Arabidopsis thaliana: one gene and its partners. The protein of the gene in region 1 interacts with the protein of each later gene in a pairwise test. Each region holds a gene or a part of one and is shown in the gene's direction. Other genes may lie near its edges.

Region 1 (4,994 bases):
CATAGGTGAAAAGATAGAAGGCAATGTAACGCAAACGAGTCTGTCTGATCGGTCCAATTGTTGGTCATTCGTCCATATATAGCTGTCTGTTGAAAATTGGAACATTAATGTTGTCAAAATTCTAAGATTGCAGGTTGCATTTATAGACTCCATTTCCCTCCACAATCGACAGGTCACAGGCCTTTACGCCACATATAACCCCAAGATACAATGCATATTTAAAAGTTCTTGTGAACTGAAGAAAAGTTTCGACGGGTTGAGATACGAGACATTGAATTTTGGAGAAGAAAACAAAAGCTAGGGAAAAAGTTTGTGGTCCGCAAAACATTGAAATGCAATAAGAAAACTGAGTTAAAAATTAGAGTAGGAGCCGTGTTGATTCCCTAGGAAAGCTTCAAGTATAGGAGATTGCATGAAACGTTTTGATAACGGAAATGTTAAGCCTAATAAAAGGAAGTCACCTCCTTATGGGGAGTTTATTACGGCCTATACATCGCATGTAGAAAACGAGTTTCTCGGTTAGAACTTAAAATGGATTTGGAAGTAGTGGTTGGTTTTCTGAAGATAAGGGTTAGTGAAACTTATCCGCTGTCTTTCCTGTTACGCTTGTGACATGGCTTTATATCAAAGGATTAGAATATCAAAATTTCACATATTTACCGGGAGGATAATCGTTTTGCGGATGAATTAGCTAACCATGCTTTTTCTTTAAATTTAGTTTTTCACTTTTTAGATACTATTCCAAGATGTTCTCTTTTGTCGGATGATGCCCGTTGTTTGGCAATTCGATGGCATGTTGTTGCTTGTTAAGTTTTTGTATGTTGCTATGAATAAATTTGGGGAGGCATTATCTCCCCGTCCCCTACCAATTTCTTTTTTTTTCTTCTATCCCATATATATATATATATATATATAAATTTCGAAAACTCTTTGCTTTCATTTTCTTAAAAAATCACGTAAACATAATTTTAGAAATAATTAAATAACAACTTATAATATTTTTTTTTCTTCCCATATATATAAACTCCGAAAACATATAGTCGTATATTATTTCTTAAAAAATACTTTCAATTGACTTTTTCCTTTTGTATTAAAATCTATTCTCCCACATATTTGGTAGTTATTTAAAATTGTAGTTCATACAATCACAGTCTTTACCAATTAATTTAAAAATCATACAGTCAAATTCCTTACATCAAAAATCCTTATAACCTTTAACTATGCGAACAACAAAGATTACCAAACTTCCAAACATTGATCTACAGATTGACTAATTTTTATGCAATTTAAATTACTACCATTTTTCCATCTATATAAACCCAATCTTGCACCCACAAAAAAAAAAAAAAAAAGAGAAACACATACTTAATCTAAATTTCTCCTTTCTTTATAGTCAATTCATATTTTTGTTTTCTTCCAAAATGAATCCCAAGAAAACCAAAGGAAAGCAAATGATTAACATCAAAAAAATTGAAAAAGATGAAGACAGATTGGTCACATTATCTAAGCGTCGAAATGGAATCTACAATAAGCAATGAGCTTTCCATTCTCTGTGGTGCTGAAGTTGCGTTTCTCGGATACTCTTGCTCAGGAAAACCATACACATTCGGCAGTCCGTCTTTTCAAGCCGTGGCAGAGCGATTTCTCAATCGTGAGGCCTCATCATCGTTGCAACGATCGGTCATGAATGCTCACCAACAAGCGAAGATTCAAGAGCTTTGCAAAGTATACAATAGAATGGTGGAGGAGGCAAAGACGGAAGAAGCCAAAGTAAAGAAGGCAGCTGCATTAGCGGAGACAATGCCCGTAGATGAGGATGCGTGGTGGAAAGTGGATCCAAAGGAGGTGGAAGATCACGAAGAGGCGAAGAAGATAATGGAAAAGTGTGAAGGGCTCTATGAGAAACTGTGTAATGAAGCTGCTGCAAGGATCCAAAGAGGAGATGCTGAGAATAATAACAAATGATCCATTAATGATTAAGATTTTAATTAGTAGATCATTACTAATTAAGTATTTTTGAGTCTTAAGAATTATGTTTTTTTTTTTGTCTTTTCTTTTTTATACATTATGAATTGTTATTGTTTTCTACAACATCCAGCAATGGATTAATGAAACTGAAATATTTTATACATAAAAGAAGCCCATTACAGCCATTAGGCCCAATTCGTGATCTATCATCTACTCAATCTCTAACCCTAATATCTCCAATCTTCATCTCCGTCGATCTCCATTGATCTCTAACACTAAAATTCTACTACTCTTCACTTTCTACAGCTTAGGAAGAGTTCTCGACAAGCTGATTCTTCGAGTTCTCGACAAGTTTCAGTGTTTTTGTTTCCGGGTCACAGAGAACAAAGGCAATTTACAATAATGGCAGAGACTAAACAACCACTGATCGGTCTTAAATGGGAACCAAAGCTTCCAGGCTTATCCTTAGACTTGAAAACTGGTTCAACCAGAAGCAAAACAGCTGAGAGTTCTAAGTCAGAGCTTGTTGATGGTCTTTGTCTTCCACCTAATGATCCAAGGAAGATTAACAAGATGATTAGAAAACAACTCAAAGACACTACTGGTTCTAACTGGTAACTCTTCTTTATCTCCTCTACTCGGATTAGTTTGATCCGGCTTGTGATTAAATTGTATTTCTTCAAACTGTGGATAGGTTTGATATGCCTGCTCCAACAATGACTCCTGAGTTGAAAAGAGATCTTCAGTTGCTTAAGGTAATAGATTCTTTTGCTTTTGTTGTTGTTTTAGGTTCCATAGTCCTTACATTATTCTAATTGTATCTTTATTGTAGTTGAGAACTGTAATGGATCCTGCTCTACACTACAAGAAATCTGTGTCACGGTCTAAACTAGCTGAAAAATATTTCCAGGCAAGTTTCAGAACTAGATCAAAGAGAATAACCGTCTCTTTCGGTTTCTGTCTTAACACAAACTTTTGTTGTAAAAAAAAAAACAGATTGGTACAGTAATTGAACCAGCTGAAGAGTTTTATGGGAGATTGACAAAGAAGAATAGAAAAGCAACTCTTGCTGATGAGTTGGTTTCAGATCCTAAAACTGCTCTCTACAGGTTAGTTACTACCATTGTCTATTAAGAAACAATGTATAGGAAATGCTTAAATTCTGTAAGTATTATTGATAGATGTAAGTAAAATAAGTGTGTGGTTTATCTATTCTATCAAGAATTTGTATTTTTGAGAATTTGTATTCATATAGCACATGTGCAATCTTTGTTAAGTGAATGTTTTTGTGTTGATTATGGTTTTACAGGAAGCGTAAAGTTAGGGAGATTGAGGAGAAGAGTAGAGCTGTTACGAATAAGAAATGGAATAAAAAGGGAAACCAGTCTAAGAACACAAAGCCAAGAAGGAACTGAATTATTTTTGTTAAGAGTATGATCATAGTTTTGGGACACATTTTTTCTATTTTTAATAGAATATGGTCATAGTATTGGATACACTTTCTTGCGGTGATATAGGTTGTAATGACTCTTGTTGTTTATGGCCTTTGTTTAAAGGATTTTGTGTTATTGGTTACACCTTTGATAACTGTAATAACTCTTGTTGTTTATGGTGCTTATGTTATGTATATCCAAAACCAAACCTTGTCTAGAGCTACTAGGTGGGAAACTTGTTTCAGCAAGACTGAAATTGAGTCCTAGTTTACACCTTTTGCAGAATTGCAGGGTCCAACCACGAGAGCATCGAGTTTTATACTTTCAGGTAGCACTCATAGTACCTCCCTGTTTGAGTCATCTGGCACTGACCATGCCACACATATTTATGTCAGCACAGCAAAACTTTGGTATTCAGCAAGATCTAAATTATGTGACTTTCTTCTTTTGAATCATAGTTGTAATGAGGAGGCTAAGAGTATTGCTGCAGCTGCTTCGAGCAGGGGAAAGATTGAGGTCAGTTGTTTGAATTTTTGTTTTCGCTCGGCGTTGTTCTATGATATTATATCAGCTCTTTGGAATTAAGAAGATGAATTGTGTGTGTAGGATTTAAATCTATGTCAAGTTGAACTGTTTAAGCTTGCTTTTTTTTTTTTTTTGAATCTGTGTATTGGCTCGGTGTTGTTAGAATCTAATTTCTTACTAAGTATCTCGACAAAGTCAGTTTCTTGGAGAGTGCTGATTACAGGCAGTTTGAGAAAGAGAGAGACGCTAGTTTGAGAAGACACGATGAGACCGACTCCTCTAACGTTCTTCTACATCTGCTGTAAGTAATCTTGTTTTCTGTTCTGTTAGAGAAGTCTTCTTTAGTAGACTTTGTAGCATTTTCTCAAGTGATTTGGTCACATTCTTTGGCAGTGTCTAAACCGAGTCCCCGTTTTCTTGATTGATTCGGATTTATTTCTTATGTCTCTCTCGAGAGAGAGTTCAAAACTGAGACCATCCTCTCTGAAGGCCATGGCCAATGAAATGGGCTTGCAATGCAACGTAAGCCCAACTTGAATCCCACGATTCTAATTCGAGCCGATATCTGAAACAACAATTCATTTGTGACTGCAATCTACACCAATCTACACCTTGTTCTTGTAAATCGTTTGTTTTCTTAGTTTCTACCTAATGAAGCTCATTTGGTCTCTATACAACATAAATTTCTTCTTTTGGTTTTGAAATCTAAAACCTGAAGTAAAGCTTGATTGATTTGGTTTATGGATTGCAGGGGAAAAAGTGGCTCTCTCTTTAACATTTACAAAAAAAAAAAAAAGTGGCTCTCTACAGAGTTGATAGTCGTAAACAAGCAAGCTCGTGTTAGGTTTTTTCTATTGTTGGATGGTTTTGTATCAATGTTCTCAATATTGTTTTACTAGATAATGAAGATAACTTTTATATTGTAAATATATTAAATTCATTTTGTAATTATTATTTTTTGGACAAATATAAATGCATATATAAGTAAAAATGTGATAACACGTTTCATTGAGTGTATATTTAAAATGTAATTATGCAAAAAAAAAATTAAAAAATATTTAATTAGCA
Region 2 (4,514 bases), about 18 Mb from region 1:
AGTATCGTTTTTCTTTCCCTTTGATTCATGATTCTTTTAATTACAGTGGTTCGTAACATAATCTGAACCCGAGGACACACACACGATGATGCATTCGACGGTGCAGCATGGGGGAAACAAGAGTGGCAAGTCAAATGTATGGGCTAATACTAACTTGGCAAAGACAGTGGCAGCTGTAGATGAGTTCAAATTTGGATTCCCATCAGGCGGGTTAACAACTGTGTCAAACAAATGGTGGGGAAGGGCAGAGAAAGGCGGACGAGAAGATGGTGGAGGAGAGAACACTGAAAATGGACATGTAGCAGCTTGTGATGAGACGCAAAATTCTTTGGTAGCTATTAGGAAAAGAATAGCGGAAGAAGGAAGAGAAGCGGTTGAACTTGGTCTGCATCAAGGATTTGGTTCAAAAAGACCAGGCAAGAGAGATCAAGCTTTGCTGTTTCAGATCTTCAACTCTGCAATGCCAAAGGATTGGGTTACCCCTGATTCTTCCTAAGTTCGTTTGTAGATTTAGAACAGAGCTCCCTCTTAAAAATTATGCTCTGTTATATGTAATCCGCAAGTTCATTAACTCCTGCAACTATGTTATTATGTCTCTAAGTGAACTGGAAATACAACAGGAAGACTTGCGATCTTACGAGTCTACAAAATCATTTCTGTTAATTGCAAAAACATGGGAACAAATAATATAGAGACATAAGAACTGTCCTAGAGCCTTTGGAGGAAAATTAACAAAAACAGAGGTGACGCCGAAAGAGGGATTTTTGCTGGTATACGTCTCAGAAATTGGAACCAAACGTACATGCCTTTGGATGATCTAGGCTTTTCGTGCTCTACTGTGCGAGAAACAAGACATGTTTTCATGTCAAATGCCTGCAATGCGAGGATACAAGAAATTATCATGAAAGAGCTTCAATTGCTTCTCAAAAGTTTCGAACAATCAGCATAATAAGATTCAGATAGCAAGCAGCAGCAGTAAGTCCATCAGGCAAACTAAAGACTTCTCTAACTCCAATCCAATCACCTTCTGGGGAGGCTTAATATCTACCCTAACTAAATGCACAAGAGAAGGTAGGATAATGTTTAAGTAAATGATGGACTTATCCTTTTGTGAAAACATATACTACGAATCATGGGAAACCGTGAAACTTGTTTCAGAGATGAAGATGAGGCCAAACAGCATATTGTATCATAACACTCATCACTTAGAAACCCGCTAATGAAACCATAAGACCAAAGTAGCAAAAAGAACTAGATAAGTACCAAAAATTGTTACAACAATAGCAAAATTAGTGTCAAGGAAACCTTAACAAGCTTAAGGTGTGCGCAAAGAGCATCATCAAGTGTTTTACCTCTGGAAAAGCTCCGAAAAGTAGCGAGTACCGTTGTATAAAACGAACCACATCAAAACAACCACCAAAGAATCTGAAAAGAGTTGAGGAAAGGCAAAGAAGATGCAAGCAAAGATCTTAAGTCCTTGTAAACTAGCAAAAAATTATCTCAATTGACAGTATATTATTCAGTAGAGACTATAATCCAAACTCTGAAGTTGAAGACAAAATTTTAAGAAAGTAGCTTTTTAAAAACAAAATTCTAAAATTGAACAGACACAATGCTTAAGACGACAACACAAGAGAACAGAACACAATGCCACCATATATCACCAAAGATGTAAAAATCAAAACTTGCATCTTTCTAATGAAAGGGTAAATCGAAATTGGAGCACAGATAAACCAAAATCGATGGAGAGAACGAATGAAGCATGGAGGGATAGAGTGAGGAAAAAAGGATACTGAAGAGGTATCGTTCCCACCAATCAAGCATGTAGAGCCCGAATGTGACATTATAAAGGTAGATTTTGCGTTGAACCCAGTTCATATCTTCTGATCGATTCCTACAGTAAGAAGCGGGAGATTACAAATCTGAAATTGACAAAAACCTGATCCAAGATTCAAAATTTACCCGGTAAATCTCTGACAGAGAACTTGACAAAGATATACTAAACAGGATTACAAAGCGCCTGGAGATTCTCGATCTAGGGAACTGTATCTGACTCCAGATTTTGATTGAAGTGTCGTCGTCAAATACAGAAGAGAAATCAAATTTTGACGGAGACGTCAAAGTTGGAAAACTCTGTCACGGTAAATACTAATCTCATCCTCAATTCATTTTCCCACCCCGGTTTAGTCTTAATTACCGGTTTAGATGAACCAGGTATTCAAAATCGGTTTGTAGAACTAACCGGATAACGGAGACTGCAATGTCACAGAACGTGTGCGCTTTGTAAGAAGACCAAACATGGTGACGACGACCATCGGCGGAGTTCCGGTGGTGATTGCTCAGTCTCGGAGGATTCCAACGAGCCTGAGATGCTTCTCTGCCACCGCAAATTCTGACCTTCTTCGCTCCCAGCTTGATCGGCTTCACGCGGAGGCAGAGTCCACTCGTGCCAAAGGTGGAATCTTTATTCGCTAATCTTCGTTTTAATGTGTGATTTCAAAGTCGTAGACTTTGGAAAGATGAGGTGCTGGTTTCAGCATGGTTTTACTGCTTGTGAATCCAGTGATTGATGATGTCAATTTGATTTATTTTTGGTCTTTGTTGTTGTTGGTCCAGCAAACAGTAATAGGTTGAGACTTTTGAGATTATCTGAGGCTGCAGAGAATCTACGGGAACAAGCAGCTGTCAATGTTCGAACAGGGAAAGAGAATGATGCCAGAGATCTACTTCTTCAGAAGAAAAAAGTTATGCAAGCTTTGGACAAGGCTAAAGCTCGTATCGAGTTGCTCGATACGCTTTCTTCCAAACTTAACGAGGTACAAACAAACAATACTCTTACTTGTTAAGAAATGTTATTGTTTTGGTTGTTTGTTTGTTTTCAATTGCCCCAGAAATCTATCTAACTATGTCTTGAAAGCTTGGTTTGGTTTCAGGCAATATCTGTCAAGGAAACACAGCTGATAGGCAATATATCTTTGGATCTCGAAGAGGATGGAGAGAATACTTCAGGTGGTATCCACATTGTATCGCCAAAGCCCGAATCTACTGAAGACGGGGTCGAAAATGACCACACTCACTTGGATTCTGAGGGAATTCAACTTATTGAAAGGAATGTTGAGGATTACCAAGAACTTCTTGATACCAATAATAATGTACTAGAAGATGTTTCAATAGGTAGCATCCTGAAAGAAGTGTCTTCTTATGAATCTTTCTTGGAAAATTTAGACCAGAAACTTAGCAGAATCGAAGCTGAACTAGTTACTGTTGTAAATGTTGCATCCTTGGTGCTTAATCATGAAGATAAACCCAAGAATCTTAAGGTTCAGCAGACTGCAGAAATTCTTGAAGAGATTCGTCGTGTGAGGGAAAGGTAATGCATTCAAAGCATCACTAAGTTTTACTTCTAACACTGCAGAATTACTCAGTCCATTAAGTTTTGTTTTGCTTGTGTAGAATCGCAAATATCATTTGCAAAGAGGCAAACATCAGTTAGTGTGCTTCAAGCATTACTTACCAGCGCAGTGAACTAAAGAAAGGAAGCCACTCTTGGTATGAAAAGTTAATCTAGCAATTTTCCTTTCTTTAATCATTCTGTTTAGACAGGTATAGTCATTTTCTTGGTGTGAATATTAATATCTTCTAAGGTGATACATTAAATTTTGATGTGATATGAAGTTAATATGGTCGTTCACGTTAATGTTGTTGTGATATGGGATCATGATTATTAATGTGATATCAATACTTAGGAGCATCATTAAGTAAATAATAAGTGAATAACATACTATTAGATTAGATGTATACAATTAATATTGATTTCAACTAACTCTGAAATCATTTCATTTGTTCTAGGAATAAAATTAATGGCACTAAAGCGACAGGTTGAGATTATGGACTATACAAATCCAGAAACAAAATCATATAAAGCAAACATTTTCAATACATATCAATGGTCCCGAGTGATAAGAAATAGAAATGATGCCAATGAATCAACCATATAGAATTAAACATCTAAGTCCTGAAATAACAATAATATTTAGCTTTTCAAACAAACAAAAAAACTAATGAAAATTCGGAATAGTTTATCTGACAATGCCTTCATTTCCAGCAAGAACCAAGTACTTATCCCTCCTTGTGAGATTAGTGCATTCAAATCCCAAAACCCTAGCAAGTTCTCCCTGTATGAAATTCGCAACTTCAAAGCTTGACTTGCCTCCTGCACAAGTCATCTCTTTTGGCAACTTCTTTAAAATCTCAAGACAATAAACCGGCCTAGGGTTCATGAGGAAGAAGATAGGGTCTAAACACTTGAGCCCGCTCGCAGTTGTCCCATAGAACATGCTCACTCGAGCATCTACAGCCACGGGAACAATGTCTTCAGTTAACTCAGCGAACAAAGGACTGAACCTTAGTAGATAAGGCTCTCTACATGTGGTTCCCTCCGGACAAACCACTAGATCTCCTTTGCTTAATAGTCTCTGCATTGCCTCACCGTCTTTCTTCCTATCTCTTTTAAG
Region 3 (5,220 bases), on another chromosome or scaffold:
TGTTTTCTGCACTGTTGAGAAGCTATATCTAATTTTATAAAATGTTTGTGTCATTGAAACCAAAACAAAAAAAGGAGAATAGGTCCCACCGAGACTTGAACTCGGGTTACTGGATTCAGAGTCCAATGTCCTGACCACTAGACCATGGGACCATTCTATTCACGCTTTAATATTTGTTATTTTTATTGTGTTAGTTTCTAGTGTGTAATAAAAAAGAGAAATAAAATGATACAAGCTAAATGCTAGGAAAAATGTGGAAACACTAGTTTGGACAATGAGAAGTTTGAATTTTGATTTCAGAAAAGAAAACTAAATTAATTTTAGTGCAGACTATTCCGATTAGGTGTAAATGTGGTCTACATTTGTGATATATTATGAAGACGTAGAGAAGAGTTAGAAATTTTTGTCATCTTCTTTTGTTTCCTATGTTTGTTTTGTAATGCTAATGTTAAAACCGATTTGCTAGTTCAAAATGTCCGTATCTACCCGTATTGAATGTATGTAATTACCCATAGTATGTATTGTATATTGTAAACGATATTTTTTTAGTTTAGCTTATTTGACAAAAAAGAACGTCGTTTTTAAAGTAGAGTTTAGATTGCTGCTGCAAGAGTAGTTAGTATATTGAATAAAAGTATAGTGATATGACATTTTTGTCAAATTCTCCATGTGATATGTGAGTAGTAGTCAAAGACTCAAAGGAATAAAAGAGAAACAGACTAGAACTCTTTTTAATCTGAACCGTTCATCTATGTTGTATTTTTCTTCTATCATCGTGGCACTTCTCTAGTCTTCACACATTTTAAAATTCTTTTTTACTCGTATTAATTTATTTTTAAATTAGTAATATGTTAAATTATTTGTAATGGAGTTAAAAGAATCTGGAGGATGGATTTGATTTGACTGGCAGAGAAGGCATCTATCTCTTTGGGATGTTCCATAAGTATTTACTATTATTTGTACTCAGCATGTGCCTGTCTTTCATAATTCATATGCCAATCACAAAACTTGTGTTCAAATTAGTATAGAGACAATCATTGGTTTTGAGTTGTGAATTATGATTGGATAGTAGTAATCGTTAAGGCATCTAGGAAATTTTATGTCTGATTTACATTCAAAAAATCCTATATGTTTTAGAGCAGCAATATTTTTTTTTATGAATCCAAAAATCTAAAACCATGTATTCATTGTGTAACTATGATTGTTTAATGAGAGATTTTTAGCAATGATTGAACATCTACTATATATATTAGTGTCAAAATTGTCAAAGTTTCGATGTGCGACAATTCCAATAACTTATAACAACTGTCTGTAAAATTTTAGTGTATTGATCTTAATACCTACCTCTCTAGACAAAAGCCATAAGTTTATAAACACAATCCTAAAACATAAAATGAAGAACTATTCAATCCTAAACGAAAATGATTTATAATAATTATATTTCTGTTTGTGTTTTTGGATTGTGTATAACAAATATTCGCATTTAAACAAAAATACTATATATTATCTTTCTAAACACTATTCAATCATAATTGAACAATCTGCATGATATAAATCGTCAAAATCAATAAAAACTAATCAATTTTGCATTAAAAATAAAAAAACATCATCTAATTCAATACAATTTTTTTTCCTAAAACATAAGAAAAAAGGAGTATACTTTCTTGGCTCATGTATCTTGCCTTGTCTATGCATATTCATTTATTTCAAAATATGTCACCCATATTCATGTTTGTTGAAAACAATGCTACTTTATAGTAGTACGTAGTACGTTGTCTTTAACTCTTTTGACGTTCATATTATTTCCCAAAAAAAAAATACTAATCAAAAACGAAATGAGTCGGGTCTTAATCCGATCAAACGAGGTTAAATTGTGACCTAAACCCGTGTTCTGTTCGACTTTTGGCAAGTTCTAGAAAACACATGTTAGCTTTTGACGTTAGCATAGAGGTTAATGCTAGTTTTGATAATCTAGTACGTTGTCTTTATTTGATGCTCTTCTTTTTTTCTTCTCCAGAAAAGCCTACAAAAACTTAATAGAATCCTGTCTAATCCGATCAAACCAGGTTAACTTGTGGTCTAAAGATTCTAAACTCTTTAGAAAGCACTAATTTGGAAACATGGATTCCATGATATCTTTTTGCAAGTCATTGTTGCATTAATGAGTTAGCGGCAACAATATTTGTACTCATTGATTATGAAATTATTTTTGTTAAAATTAATGACGAAATTGGACAACATCGGTTCATGAACCCTCCAAAGAAAATTTACATTGCCCAAATAGACAACGCACAAACACAAAAACACCACACTGTCTCCATCTTTCTTTCCTCTTCTTCAACATCTCTCTTCTCCCAAGAAAATAAAACACAATTTCCCAGATTCAAAACTTCTTTTTCACAAATCACAACGTCTTCAAAGGGATCAAGAATCTTATTACTCTTCTCTTCTTTTGCTTTTAAGAAGAAGTAAAAACATCATCTTAACTTTCACTTTTTGTATTATCTTTCTCTTTCACTCACTTTAAAGTCTATTTAGAGATTCAAAAACAAAATCTTCCAGAAACTGCTTCTGATCTTAGAAGATGACTCACTTCTCCTAAAAAGCACCAATTTCAATCCTATTTTTTTCTCTTGTTTTCCGGCAAGATTTGGTAAAATTTTGTGTTCTGATTTGTTGTTTTGAATATCAACTATGGAACAACGGAAGAAAGGTTGTAAGATCAGGAAGAGAGGTGGTTCTTCCTCTTCTTCTTCTTCACTTGCTCGTCGAAACCGCTTCAAACGTGCAATTTTCGCCGGGAAAAGAGCCGCTCAAGACGACGGTGGCTCAGGAACTCCTGTTAAGTCCATCACCGCCGCTAAAACTCCAGTTCTGTTATCGTTTTCGCCGGAAAATCTTCCTATAGATCATCATCAATTGCAGAAAAGCTGCGTGTCGGCGAGAAAGCTAGCTGCGACGCTGTGGGAAATCAACGACGACGCAGACCCTCCGGTAAATTCTGATAAAGATTGCTTGAGAAGCAAGAAACCATCGAGATACAGAGCGAAGAAATCAACAGAGTTCTCTTCCATTGATTTCCCGCCACGATCATCCGATCCGATTTCTCGTCTAAGCTCAGAGGTTAGGGTTTGCTTCAGTTTCAAGTTTCCTCTGTGTTTTTTTTCTTTCTGAAATTCTAAGTCTGAAAAATCAAAATTGCACAGAGAATCGATCTCTGTGACGATATGATTCGTAGAAGATCAACAAATCCTCAGAAATTAAACCCAATTGAATACAAAATCATTGGCGCAAACTCGGTATGATTTGCAATCTTACCCTAAAAACACTTTTCTTGCGGAAGAAGAAAGGTCTGATTCTTAATTATATTACAGGTGAAAACTCGTTTCAAGAATGTCAGTGACGGATTAACAACGTCTAAAGAACTGGTAAAGGTATTAAAAAGGATCGGTGAGCTCGGAGATGATCACAAGACAGCAAGCAATCGTTTGATCTCTGCTTTGTTATGTGAACTAGACAGAGCAAGATCTTCACTAAAGCATCTAATGAGTGAATTAGATGAAGAGGAAGAGGAGAAGCGGAGGTTGATAGAGAGTCTACAAGAAGAGGCGATGGTTGAGAGAAAACTCCGGCGAAGAACAGAGAAGATGAATAGAAGATTAGGGAGAGAGCTCACGGAGGCTAAAGAAACAGAGAGGAAGATGAAGGAGGAGATGAAAAGAGAGAAGAGAGCTAAAGATGTTCTTGAAGAGGTTTGTGATGAGCTAACTAAAGGAATCGGAGATGATAAGAAGGAGATGGAGAAAGAGAGAGAGATGATGCATATAGCTGATGTTTTGAGGGAAGAGAGAGTTCAAATGAAGCTTACGGAGGCGAAGTTTGAGTTCGAAGATAAATACGCCGCCGTGGAGCGGCTGAAGAAGGAGCTCCGGCGGGTTTTGGATGGTGAAGAAGGAAAAGGGTCGTCGGAGATTCGTAGGATTTTGGAGGTGATTGATGGTTCTGGTTCTGATGATGATGAGGAGAGTGATCTTAAGTCCATTGAGTTGAACATGGAGAGTGGTAGTAAATGGGGTTATGTTGATAGCCTGAAAGATCGTCGGAGATTTGATGGCTCCGGCGGCGATGATGATGATGATGATCCGGTGGAGAAGAGATCAGTGATTGTTGAGAATGGTGAGAGAGATGAGTCTTTGAAGACTTTGAGAGATTACATTGTTTCAAATGTTAGATGTATTGGTCCTTCATCGTCAGAGCAGTGGAATCATCGGAATTTACCAAGCTCTGAGTTTGTGTAATCACCACCGCTAGCGCCGGCGAGGAAGAAAAAGAAATCATTTTTTTTTATAGTATATAATATTTCAGTATTTGTAATTTATTCAATTTAATTTGAAATACAAAATCAATTACGGAATATTTTTTGCCGGTATATCACATTTTTTCGTCTACAATGGTTTAACCTCAATTTACTACACATATCCAATCAAATCATTATTTGCATTTTCTATCAAAATATTCCGTTTTTATGATCGAAGTTTCAAGTTTGTAATCAAGTGATTTGTCAGAATTTGAAGTCTATTACGGAACTTAAGTGCTTATTTTAGAGAACAACAATTCATTACGTACGAGTTTTTATGTTTGTAACTAACTCTAATTAGACCATAATGTAGATGTAGAGAATAAGGGGAAACCAAACAAATCATGCTTGGAATGAATTGGAGGTGAATTGTACATTGTATATAACTATTAAAGAACTTATTTATTGGTGGCATTGAAGATATACACATGGAAACGTTGATTTGGTGTAAATTAAATCATAATGATTAGTACAACAATGAGAATAAGAACGAACAATAATGAGATATATAATTGATTCAAGAAAGGATTAGTTTAAGATTTTGAATCAAAAACGAAACAAGACATTTTCTCTATTATTGTCTAGACATTTGGACAGCATCGTTCCATCTTCCCATGTGATTTTGTCTCAACTATATATCCGTTACGTTTTACCCTATTTGGGAATATTTGGTAACAATTCAACCAAAAAAGTTACAAAAATTAATAAGATGACATGAACAATAACGAACAATAACGGATCTTCATTTTTCGATCATATATACACATGATTAGGTAATAGGTCAATTCGTGTGAAAGATATATGCATATACCAATCAGCCTTACTCTATGTCCCCCACTCAATATAATATTTTAGCTTAGAAC

The links. The genes of interacting proteins can lie anywhere in the genome.
Region 2: the proteins of AT1G54770 (region 1) and AT1G06510 interact in a two-hybrid assay, tested with the Arabidopsis thaliana proteins (one large-scale study listed by BioGRID).
Region 3: the proteins of AT1G54770 (region 1) and AT5G22310 interact in a two-hybrid assay, tested with the Arabidopsis thaliana proteins (one large-scale study listed by BioGRID).

Annotation. Positions count from the first base shown.
Region 1 is NC_003070.9:20,432,433-20,437,426, forward strand, and holds AT1G54770 (Fcf2 pre-rRNA processing protein), read left to right. Parts: upstream 1-2,117; 5' UTR 2,118-2,370; coding exon 2,371-2,582; intron 2,583-2,662; coding exon 2,663-2,723; intron 2,724-2,800; coding exon 2,801-2,878; intron 2,879-2,964; coding exon 2,965-3,077; intron 3,078-3,277; coding exon 3,278-3,383; 3' UTR 3,384-3,729; intron 3,730-3,859; 3' UTR 3,860-4,021; downstream 4,022-4,994. Other genes in the region: AGL85 (AGAMOUS-like 85), read left to right, coding at 1,480-1,965; AT1G54773 (uncharacterized protein), read left to right, coding at 4,191-4,227, 4,320-4,351.
Region 2 is NC_003070.9:1,990,091-1,994,604, forward strand, and holds AT1G06510 (forkhead-associated domain protein), read left to right. Parts: upstream 1-2,138; 5' UTR 2,139-2,298; coding exon 2,299-2,455; intron 2,456-2,616; coding exon 2,617-2,816; intron 2,817-2,933; coding exon 2,934-3,370; intron 3,371-3,453; coding exon 3,454-3,493; 3' UTR 3,494-3,751; downstream 3,752-4,514. Other genes in the region: AT1G06500 (uncharacterized protein), read left to right, coding at 86-496; AT1G06515 (transmembrane protein, putative (DUF3317)), read right to left, coding at 861-873, 1,353-1,425, 1,794-1,878; GPAT1 (glycerol-3-phosphate acyltransferase 1), read right to left, coding at 4,080-4,514.
Region 3 is NC_003076.8:7,382,820-7,388,039, reverse strand, and holds AT5G22310 (trichohyalin-like protein), read left to right. Parts: upstream 1-2,206; 5' UTR 2,207-2,694; coding exon 2,695-3,123; intron 3,124-3,206; coding exon 3,207-3,299; intron 3,300-3,374; coding exon 3,375-4,298; 3' UTR 4,299-4,457; downstream 4,458-5,220.